3 linked regions of the Macaca mulatta genome follow. The protein of the gene in region 3 binds, or shares a complex with, the protein of the main gene of each other region. Links are inferred from orthologs where the notes say so. Each region holds a gene or a part of one and is shown on either strand. Other genes may lie near its edges. The genes, in order: LAMTOR2, FNIP1 and LAMTOR1.

Evidence for each region.
Region 1: LAMTOR1 (region 3) and LAMTOR2 share a complex: the UniProt entries of both Homo sapiens proteins name them as parts of the ragulator complex. The link is inferred for Macaca mulatta from reciprocal best matches to the Homo sapiens genes LAMTOR1 and LAMTOR2.
Region 2: LAMTOR1 (region 3) and FNIP1 share a complex: the UniProt entries of both Homo sapiens proteins name them as parts of the lysosomal folliculin complex. The link is inferred for Macaca mulatta from reciprocal best matches to the Homo sapiens genes LAMTOR1 and FNIP1.

What each region holds. Positions count from the first base shown.
Region 1 is NC_133406.1:110,879,760-110,883,506, reverse strand, and holds the start of LAMTOR2 (ragulator complex protein LAMTOR2), read left to right. Parts: upstream 1-1,288; 5' UTR 1,289-1,413; coding exon 1,414-1,481; intron 1,482-1,786; coding exon 1,787-1,949; exon of another isoform or gene 1,950-2,967; intron 2,968-3,747. Other genes in the region: UBQLN4 (ubiquilin-4), read right to left, coding at 128-235. UniProt on the Homo sapiens protein: As part of the Ragulator complex it is involved in amino acid sensing and activation of mTORC1, a signaling complex promoting cell growth in response to growth factors, energy levels, and amino acids.
Region 2 is NC_133411.1:140,591,948-140,595,594, reverse strand, and holds part of FNIP1 (folliculin-interacting protein 1), read left to right. Parts: intron 1-1,390; coding exon 1,391-1,560; intron 1,561-3,647. UniProt on the Homo sapiens protein: Binding partner of the GTPase-activating protein FLCN: involved in the cellular response to amino acid availability by regulating the non-canonical mTORC1 signaling cascade controlling the MiT/TFE factors TFEB and TFE3.
Region 3 is NC_133419.1:72,394,724-72,398,470, forward strand, and holds the end of LAMTOR1 (ragulator complex protein LAMTOR1), read right to left. Parts: intron 2,201-3,747; coding exon 2,055-2,200; intron 1,803-2,054; coding exon 1,725-1,802; intron 1,363-1,724; coding exon 1,236-1,362; intron 862-1,235; coding exon 769-861; 3' UTR 237-768; downstream 1-236. UniProt on the Homo sapiens protein: Key component of the Ragulator complex, a multiprotein complex involved in amino acid sensing and activation of mTORC1, a signaling complex promoting cell growth in response to growth factors, energy levels, and amino acids.

The sequences.
Region 1 (3,747 bases), on a different chromosome or scaffold from region 3:
CTCGGAGTCCCAGCTGGCCCCCGCTCTCCTCTCCGGGGCCCTCCAGGACGCCAGACCGTCAGGGAGGCCCCCATCTCTTCGCAGACCCCTCCTCCGCGCTCCCCCCGCCTCCCGCCTGCTGTACTACCTCCTTGACCGAGGCTCGATCGCAGATCACAATTTCCTCCTTGTCCTTAGGGGTCTTGACGGTGACCCGAATAGGGGGCCTCGTCTCGGCCCCGCTCGGCTCCGCCATGCCGCCGCCGCCACCCGGCCGCCCGCCAGCCCGCCCGGCTCCTCCTCCTCCCCGCCCGCCCGGCCGGCCCGGCTCGGCTCCTGCGCCTCCAACACTCCCCTCTCTCCACCTCTCCCCTCCCCTCCCCTCCCCTCCTCTCCCCTCCCCTCCCTGAGGCTTCACCGCCCCCTCCAGACCAGCCGCAGCCACAGCGCCCCGGGCGGACCGGGGGGGCCACTGCAGCGGGGTCCGCCCAGGGCCAAGCCCCAGGTCCGGAATCCGGCCAGGGTCTCGCCAAGCTGGGGCTCCTGGGGAGGCTCTGGGCGGGGGAAGGGACGTGCCCTTCACTGCGGGGGCGAGGGCGAACTCCCCGGGAGACCGCGGCCCAACGCTGCTCGCCCGAGCCGTGCCGCCGTCCCCTCCGGCCCAAAGCCTCCCCGCCCCCTCCGCGGCTAACTCTGCTCCGGGACAAAGGACTTTGTGTGTCGCCGCTTTATCTCCGTTCCCTGTGATAACTTGGTCTTTCTTGGAAGCCCCAAGTCCCTTCCAGGCCAGGGGCCTTTCCCGACTTGGAGGTTGGGTTTCCCACCAAGCACGTCCACTTAGGATCTCAGCTCTAGGACTGACCCTATAGCCCCGAGGGTCGCGGCCTAAATGGTCTGTTGCGAACGGTTCCAGGGAGCTGGGTTTTGGCTGCGTGGCCTTTCAGAGCCTTGATTTCCTCAAGATAATAATAGTACCTCTCGCCTCATCGCACAGAATTGTGCATAACGGAGAAAACTGTTTTGAAAGTAACCAAAGGCGCGCCTGACAAATATGAGGATGTAGTATAATTATTGAATCGTGGACTGCCAAGCGGACACGTTGATTCCTTTCTCCCCGAAGGGGTTAAATGTCCTTCCAGCGCTGCAGCTGTCCTTTCACTCCCGCTCTTTTCCGCCCCCACAACCGCGTGGTCCGCCTGGAAAGGCGAACTATAGTTCCCATGGTGCCTCGCGAGGTCACGAGGAACTACGATTCCCAGAGACCCCCGCGGCGGGGCGGTGTTGAGTCGGAACCACAATAGCCAGGCGAGGAAACTACAACTCCCAGGGCATCCCGGAGCAGGCCAACGGGACTACGGGAAGCAGCGGGCAGCGGCCCGCGGGAGGCATCTCGGAGGATCTGGGTGCAAAAACCCAGGGTTAGGAGCGGTAGGCATGCTGCGCCCCAAGGCTTTGACCCAGGTGCTAAGCCAAGCCAACACTGGAGGCGTCCAGAGCACCCTGTGAGTGCGGACCACGGACCCCAGCGGCGCGCGCTGCAGTGGAGCGGCGTGCGACTCCCTGAGGGAGGGGTGGGGAAGGATCGCCCGGAAGGGAGGAGGCGTCAGAGGGGGCAGTGGCTGGGGGTACCGGCCGGGAGGTCACCTCTCGAAAAGGGAGGCCGGTGTGCTGGGTGCTTAGGGCACGTTCCGGGACACACTCAGCCGAGAGCCTTGCTGGATGTGCCCGTGGCGGGACTTGAGATGGAAACCCAGACGTTTTACTCCCCGCGCTGAGCACATCGTTATCCCTCCCCGCCCCTCACCAGGCTGCTGAATAACGAGGGATCACTGCTGGCCTACTCTGGTTACGGGGACACTGACGCCCGGGTCACCGCTGCCATAGCCAGTAACATCTGGGCCGCCTACGACCGGAACGGGAACCAAGCATTTAATGAAGACAATCTCAAATTCATCCTCATGGACTGCATGGTATGGAGAGGGGAGCCAGACTTCCCCTGTCCCCCAAGGGGATCCCAAGGGGGCGACCTGGACCCCATCCTGGATGGTTGGAGGGGCAGGGACAGGATCTCCGGAAGATTACTAAGAGTTGGTCTGCAGCAGCATTTGTAATAGGCAGGACCCTATTCATCAAGTGGTGGTGAGGAAGGAGCCCTGGACCTGAGAGGTCTGACTTGGGTTCTGGTCTCAGCCATCCACTTATCAGTTGTGGAACCTTGGGTAAGTCGCTTAACCTCTCTCAGCTTCCTTACCTCATGTCTAAGGAGAAGACAATTTCCCTCTCCCCGCTTCCCTCGTGGGTTGTTGTGAAGGTCAAATGAAATAATGGGTATAAACAGTAGAATGACGTGCAAACACAAAGTGTTGTCATCCCAGCTTCACCGACTCACAGAACCATGGCAGTCTCCAGACCCTAGTCCAACCCCTTAAGGTTACAAAGAAAGGAAAATGAAGTCCAGAAAGGGGAAGTCGCCATTAGACTGTGAACTTCCTAGTATCTGTTCAGTTAACAAATATTTAGGTCCTTGCAGTGTTCTCAGGACTAGGGAAAAAAAACAGCAAACAGAAAGACAAAACCCCCAGACCTAATAAATCTTACACAGTGATGCGATCACAGCTCACTGCAGCCTCGACCTCCCTGGGCTCAGGTGATCCTGCTGCCCCAGCCTCCTGAGTAGCTGTGACTACAGTCATGCACCACCACACCTCACTAAGTTTTGGATTTTTTGCAGAGACTGGGTTTTGCCATGTTGCCCAGGCTGGTCTCAAACTCCTGGCTCAAGTGATCCACCCACCTCGGCCTCCCAAAGTGATGGGATTACAGGTGTGAGTCACTGTGCCCGGCCACATTTTTTAAAATAAGTAAAATATGTAGTATATATTAGGTATTGAAATTGCAATGGAGAGAAAGCAGGGAAGTTAAAGAGTATGAGTTTGTTGGGCGTATGTGTCAGGGACAGTCTCACTGGAAAGGTGATATTTGATCAAAGATGTGAAGAAAGGTGGGGGACAAGCCATGTGGCTATCTGAGGGAAGAATATTTTGGACAGAACAGCAAGTACCAAGGCCCTGAGGCAGAATTATGCCTGCTCAAGGATCAACAGGGTTGGTTGGTATGGCTGGAGTTGCATGAGAATGGAGGAGGGTTAAGTAGGAGATAAGGTCAGAGAGGCAGGGAGTGCAGTGCTTGGTTCCTGGCATACAATGAATACCTAGTAAAAGTTTGCCGAACTTACTTTTGTTTTTTTCAAATCGGCCAGAGGGTGAACTCTCCAGGAAGGATCTTCATAGTAACTCAACTGCCTACTCTCCCCTACCCCCTGCACAACCAATGCCATTTTTAGTTCAACATAAGACTCCTACTGGATGCCTAGAGCTGGTGCTATAAGGAAATAGCTTTCAAACGTTTTGACCACAACCCAGCCATAAGAAATATATTTTAAAGGGCCGGCACGGTGGCTCATGCCTGTAATCCCAGCACTTTGGGAGGCTGAGGCGGGCAGATCATGAGGTCAGGTGTTCAAGACCAGCCTGGCCAACATGGTGAAACCCTGTCTCTACTAAAAGTACAAAAAATTAGTCAGGCATGGTGGCATGTGCCTGTAATCCCAGCCACTAAGGAAACTGAGGCAGGAGAATCACTTGAACCCAGGAGGTGGAGGTTGCAGTGAGCTGAGATCACGCCATTGCACTCCAGCCTGGGCAACAGAGCGAGACTCCATCTCAAAAAAAAAACCAAAACAAACAAACAAACAAAAAACAAATACAT
Region 2 (3,647 bases), on a different chromosome or scaffold from region 3:
ATCTTTGAAATTATATTATTAATCAAAATTAATAATCAGAATTCTAAAAAATAATTAAATGATAGGGTATGGAAGAATATTACAGAACCTTATGAATGAAAAGCAGTGAAAATGTCTGTAATTATGTAATTAAAATTCCTGACATAGAATTGTCTGAGGCTGCCCATTTTTTTGTGAATTGTATCCACTTATAGTTTTATTTCATAGAAAAGAGGTAGAAAACATGTAAGGATGGCCAGGCGTGGTGGCTCACACCTGTAATCCCAGCACTTCGGGAGGCCGAGGTGGGTGGATCATGCGGTCAGGAGATCGAGAGCATCCTGGCTAATACGGTGAAACCCCATCTCTACTAAAAATACAAAAACATAATTAGCCAGGCGTGGTGGTGGGCTCCTGTAGTCCCAGTTACCCGGGAGGCTGAGACTGGAGAATGGCATGAATCCAGGAGGTGGAGCTTACAGTGAGCCGAGATCATGCCACTGCATTCTAGCCCGGGCGGCAGAGCCAGACTCTGTCTCAAAAAAATAAACAAACGAAAAAAAACATGTAAGGAAATGCTAGGATTTTAGTGATGCATTTTCAGTGTGATGTTTTATCATACTGTTTTCTTTTAACTATTCAAGTCTTTGGAATCCAGATGAGTAATTCAGATGTTTTTATTCTCTTTGATGATAGACGGAGTTTGCTCAATACTTTGCCTCGTTTTCCCATTCAGTAATTTGGAAATGTAAGGACCTGCTGGTTGATTCAGTAATGAATTGTGTGATTAAACACTGAAAATAATCCATAATGGGCCTGGCACGGTGGCTCACGCCTGTAATCCCAGCACTTTGGGAAGCCGAGGCGGGTGGATCATGAGGTCAGGAGATCGAGACCATCCTGGCTAAGACCATCCTGGCTAACAGGATGAAACCCCGTCTCCACTAAAAATATAAAAAATTAGCCGGGCGTGGTGGCGGGTGCCTGTAGTCCCAGCTACTCGGATGGCTGAGGCAGGAAAATGGCATGAACTGGGGAGGCGGAGCTTGCAGTGAGCTGAGATTGCGCCACTGCACTCCAGCCTGGGCAACAGAGCGAGACTACATCTCAAAAAAAAGAAAAAGAATCCATAATTTTTGAAGTAAAAGGGCATTTCTGTTTTGTACTTATGATCTACAATAGCTCTTTTGAATGTTACCTTTATTTTAAGTAGTTTTTAACTCCTTCTCAACCGGAAACAATTAACTTTCATTTTAATCCTGGTGTTATATACTCATCCTTTCCACTCTCCTCTGCTTTTTTTGGTGCCATTTGGCCACATGAACATATATACTCTTCTTGCTTACTTTGTCACTACATAAAGGTTTCATGAAGGCAGATTGGAATTTGATCAGATGTATTTTGTTTTCAGATTCTTGCCAGCTCTCATTACTGCAGTTCTGACTAATCATCTTGCCTGGGTTCCAACAGTCATGCCAAATGGACAGCCACCTATAAAAATATTTTTAGAAAAGCATTCCTCTCAGAGTGTGGACATGTTGGCAAAGACTCATCCATATAACCCACTTTGGGCACAACTGGGTATGTAATCTGACAACTGTTACAGTATATATTAAACTTGTTTTGTAGCTATCTGTAATATTTTTATAGCAAAACCAAAAATAAATAAAATGCCTTTACCTCCTGCATTCTAAAGCATCTCTGCTTTGCTTGTCCTTTCATGTCTGGCAATTTATCCTATCCTCATCTTAGACCTGAAATCATTCCTTATAGATGAAGAACTGCAGGTATGGCAAGAGGAGCAGGCTAATAGCTGGTTTACTAGTAACTCCAGATTTTCAGGGTGTTTTATGATTTTGTACTTTGTGTTAGGTACTTTGCAAGAAAGAATGAATCAACAAAGTCACCTGTGATACCTAAAATAAATCTGGTTAGGAGGGAAGCAGTTCACTGAGGTTTCTGTTGATCCACTTTTGTTCACTTGCTGAGTCATTTTGGAAAATGTTTCCCTCAGTGTTAAACACCACTAAACAAGTGGGGGAAGAGGGGAGAGTAAGTGGTTGATAAGTTCATAGGCAATAGGGAGGGATTATAGCAGAGTGCTAAAGACACAGGCTGTGGAGTCAGGCACACCACGTTTGAATCACAGTTTCCTTATTCATAAAGTGGGAATAATAATAGATGATACATACTTTAAAAGTTGTAAAAATTAAATGAGATAATACATGTAAAATGGTTAAGACTGTCTGGTAAACGTAGCTGCTAGTTATTTCTGCTCCTACTCTATTGCTGTTAGATGATGGGAGAAGAGTAAGATGAGAACATTTTGGTGATTGGGTAGTAACTTTCCTTAGGTTGCTCTGGTGATTGACCTTGCCAGGTAGATTGTCATATGGCTTATCAGTTCATATAACCAACCTCCTTCCCTATTGGCTTTCTCCCTTGCTCCCTCCCCCATTCCCTTCCATTTTATTGAGTTATAATTGACATATAGTAAATGCATTTTTTTAATGGAGTCTCACTCTTGCCAAGGCTGGAGTACAGTGGCATGATCATGGCTCACTGCAGCTCCAATCTCCCTGGGATCAAATGATCCCCCTACCTTAGTCACCCAAGTTGCTGGGACTACAGGTGCATACCACCACACTAGGCTAGTTTTTGCATTTTTTGTAGAGATGGGGTTTCGCCATGTTCCCCAGGCTGCTCTCAAACTCTTGGACTCAAGCGATCTGCTCACGTTGGCCTCCCAAGGTGCTGGGATTACAGATGTGAGCCATCACACCCGGCCCAACACATATTTAAAGTACACAATTTGGGCTGGGTGCGGTGGCTCACGCCTGTAATCCTAGCACTTTGGGAGGCTGAGGTGGGTGGATTACTTGAGGTCAGGAATTCGAAACCAGCCTGGCCGACATGGGGAAACCCTGCCTCTACTAAAAATACAAAACAATGGCCAGGTGCAGTGGCTAACGCCTATAATCCCAGCACTTTGGGAGGCTGAGGCGGGTGGATCACAAGGTCAGGAGATTGAGACCATCCTGGCTGACACGGTGAAACCCCATCTCTATTAAAAATACAAAAAATTAGCCGGGCATGGTGGCGGGCGCCTATAGTCCCAGTTATTCGAGAGGCTGAGGCAGGAGAATGGCGTGAATCCAGGAGGCGGAGCTTGCAGTGAGCTGGGATCGCACCACTGCACTCTAGCCTGGGCAACAGTGCAAGACTCCGTCTCAAAAAAAAAAAAAAAAAAAAGAAACCAAAAAAACAATTAGCTGGGCATAGTGGCAGGCGCCTATAATCCCAGCCACTTAGGAGGCTGAGGCAGGAGAATCCCTTGAACCCGGAGGCAGAGGTTGTAGTAAGCCGAGATCATGCCACTGCACCACAGCCTGGGCAACAGAACGAGAATCTGTCTCAAAAAAAAAAAAAGCAATTTGATAAGTTTCGCATATATGCCTCTGAAACCATGACCACAATCAAAACAGTAATCATATTGCATCATTTCCAAAAGTTTCCTTATGCCTTTTTGTAATCTCTTCCTCTTCCTCCCCCTCTTCTTCTCCCCAGTTTCTCTGTTCCTCTTCCACCATCCCTACACAGCCACTGGCTTACTTTCTGTCATGATAGATTACTTGCATTTTCTAGAGTTTTATATGAATGGAATCATG
Region 3 (3,747 bases):
CAGGTCTGTTCAGCTTTGACAGTGTTCCCATCATCACTGGACAAGGGACAAGAACAGTCTCATCCAATCTGAGGTTAGCCCAAGCCAGGTCTCAGCTAGGAGCTGACACCCTAAACCCTTATCTCCTGGATTCATCTTCAGTGCCTCTGCAAGATGCCCCCTGCCCCCCATCTTACTCTCATAGACCTGAGTAGTCAAAAGTAGAATGAATAGGACAGAGGGGCCAGAACCAGCACATGGATGAATATACTTCCTTTATCGAGGGTGACAAACCAAAACAAAAAAAAGACCAAACATGTAAAAACCCAGGGTTCTAGAAATACAAACTCAATTCATTCAAATTCAAGCTCATCCAGACCCTGGTCACAAACCCTCGTGAGGTGCATGTGAGCACCAAGTCAGGGAGAGGGGGCAGGAGTGACTTTGAGGCCAAGAGAGAGGGTGGGAAGGGGATCTCCCTAGGTCCCCTGGTGATCACCCCCCACCCAAACTGGTGTCTCCACATTCTCAATGACTATGACGACATACCAGGCTCTGTCCTTTTGGCCCCCACCCTATCCCTGGCCAGAGCTTCAAAGGCCAGTCCCAAAAGGTTCTACCCTCACTTGCTCAGGCTTCCAGCCTTCCTCTTCTCCTCCTTCTTCACATTTTTCTCTGTGATTAGTAGCAGGTTAGGGTACTATATAAGCCGCAGTGAGGCTGGGGGCCAAGGGGGTGGGGTAGAGATGGGATGAAGAGAGGAGAAGAGCTGTCCAAGGACCCCTCTCTTCACGGGATCCCAAACTGTACAACCAGCTCCTCTTTTGCGTCCACACGGATCTGAGAAAGTGCACTGTAGGCATATGCAGCTATCCTGGAGACCTAAGACAGAGAGGGACCGGGGAGGAGAGGAACAGAGACAGGTGAGGAGGCCGATCAGGAAAAAGAGGGAGGGGAGATTAGATGGTGATGAAGGAGAAGGAGGGAATGATGGGGAACAGGAAGGCAGAGAGAAAGACAGGGATGGGAGAGACAGAAGGAAAAGAACAAAGGGGAGTGAAACAATAAAGGTTGCGGGAAGGAGATAGGAAAGACATATGTTAAGAGAACGAGGTGAGAGGGAACTGGGGCCCACAAGGCTACCAGGCTCCCTAACTCCATCTTCCCTACCTCCTCTGAGGCAGAGTGGGTGAACCCTCTGCCACACCCTGGGCAGTGTGGGAAGGGTGGGCAGGGGCAGGCAAGGGGTGTCTCACCTGCTGCAAATCAGAGAACGGGATGGGCTCACTGGCCAGCACTTGGTGGGGCTGGCTTGTAAGAGACGGCAGCGGTGGCAGCTTCTTCCAATGGGTCAGGCTGCTGCTCAGCACAGCCAAGCGGGTGCTGACCGAGAGAGGGGGTGGGGGTACGCAGTTAAGCCACAGTTTGCCCTGCCCAGCCCAGGTAAGCCTCATCCCCTCAGGCCAGAGAAGCAGGGTGCTGAGGGGGGTATCTGGGAGGGAAGGTCTCAGCTCATCACAGACTCACTCTAGGCCCACCTCCCTTGGCCTCAATGCCCTCGAGAGTGTCACAGGGTAAACAGGGCTGACATGAATATTTACTGAAGCACCCAAGTGATCTGTGGTCAGTCTCCAGGGCTGCACCAAATGAGAAGCTTGGACTAGGGGCCAGGCTCCGAAGCTGGAACAGTGATGGAGGGTAGGAGCCCAAGTAGCCTGAGGGACCCACCCTGGCCAGGTGCTCACCTGTACTGCCTGGCACGGTCCATGTACTCATGCTGCTCCATGCCCTGTGAGTCTGCAGCAGATACATCAATGATGTTGCTTTAGGGAGAAGAGACAGAGATGACATGACAGGTGCTTTTGAGAAGGACAAACAGGACTCAGTGCCAGGTACCAACTCCAGGGTTATCTGACTCCAGTTTCCCTCGTGCCTACTGGAGCAGGGCTGGACATGGAGGCACCTCTCTCCAGTGACCTTATCCCATCCCCCATGTCCTGAGCCTCGCTCCTTCTATCCTGGCCTTTAATATGGATAGAGGAGCTCTGACCCAGGCCTGGTCCTCTGACATTTACCTGGCTGTCTTGGCAAGGATGGAAGAGAGTAGGGCCTGCTCATCAGTGCGAGCGGAAGGCAGGCTGTGGTAGTTGGGCTCGGCTCCATTGAGAGCTTTGGTAGGGGGGCTGCTAGGGTCCAGCAGCAGCTTCCGTTCCTCTCGGTCCTAGAAGTGGTCATGGGAGAGAAGTCAGCCCCAGGACCCTTAGATCCTGCCTTTCATGGGTCAGCCCAGCTCTGACCTTAAACACCAAAAATATTTCTATAAGGAATATCCAAAGTGCCCAGCTTTATGGAATGCCAGATAAGACTCAGTTCCTGCCTATCCTTGGGAGCTCAGCTGAGTTGGTGTTCTAGGATAAACGAGAGTGGAGCCAGGCAGTCCTAGAGGCCCTGAAAAAAGGGACAGAGGCACAAAGCAGATAGTCAGCAACAGCCCTGGAGCTTGAAAAACATTCTAGGACCTGGCAGAGAAAGGATACTAGAGGCTGGAAGACAGAGGAGCTGAGACATAGCAAAGCAATGGGAGCTAAAGGGGAAACCAGTGCAAGTCAGGAGCCCAAGAACAGCCCTCCTCATCCCCCAGGACCAGGCCCTCCGCAGCAAAGCTGTTTCCTTCCAAGATGGAAGCCCTGGTGAGTCCAGACAAGGCCCTAGGCCCCAAGGGAAAGCAAGCCCAACCTCTCCATGGCCATTTCTCAAATTATGTCAGGGCAGGAATCCCAGCCCAGCTCTGGGTCACACAGTACAAGTGTGTTCCCTTCTTGAAGGCAGGTCCCTAGGAAGGTGTTCACCCTCTTGTGCTCTGGTGCTCTTTTTCTGTGTGACTCCCAGAATCAAACTGAGTGTACGAGGTGTATCCTGATCTGAGCAGTAGAGCTGTACCCGTGTGTGGTGATTCATACTGGGAATCCCAACACTTTGGGAGCCCAAAGCAGGAGGATTGCTTGAGTCCAGGAGTTTGAGACCAGCCCGGGCAACAAAGCAAGACCTTGTCTCTACAAAAAAAATAAAAAATTAGCTGGACTTGGTAGTGTGAGCCCTGCAGTCCCAGCTACTTGGGAGGCTGAAGTGCGAGGACTGTATGAACCCAGGGTTTGAGGCTGCAGTGAGCTAGGATTGTGCCACTGTACTCCAGCCTGGGCAAGAGAGCAAGACCCCATCTCAAAACAAACAACAATGGAGCTATTCCCGCCCTTGCTAAACCACCTGAGTAGCCCATGTAAATTTTCAGCAGCCCTGTTACTGCTGGCCTATGCTGATAATCACAACCCCTGAACTAACGTAAGACCAAACCAAGCTTCCTCACTGGTTTGGTCTTACTACTTGTCCTGTTTCAGTCCCCTGTTCTATCTACTGTAATATTTCTGGATTTGACCCTGCCTTGAGTCCATCAGCTGCAAATCCTTGATTGCTGTTATCAGTGGTAAATTGGAAAAACAAACCTGCTGGGTATCTATCCAACCCATAAAGAGCAAGAGTGCCCTGGACAAAGCCAAGGATGGGCCCAGGGGGACATCCTGGCTAATGCTGACTCACCAACCTTCAGTGTCAGACTCCTCAATGCTCCCCTCCAGGCCTGTCTCAGTTCCTCAGTCTTTCCTGCTGCAGGCTCCAGCTCCCCTGCCCACAACTCCACAACTCTCCTTGTAGAGGGCTACTTCCTCCTGCCCTGCTTAGGGAGGCCCAGCCTTTTCACCTTACTCTTCTTTC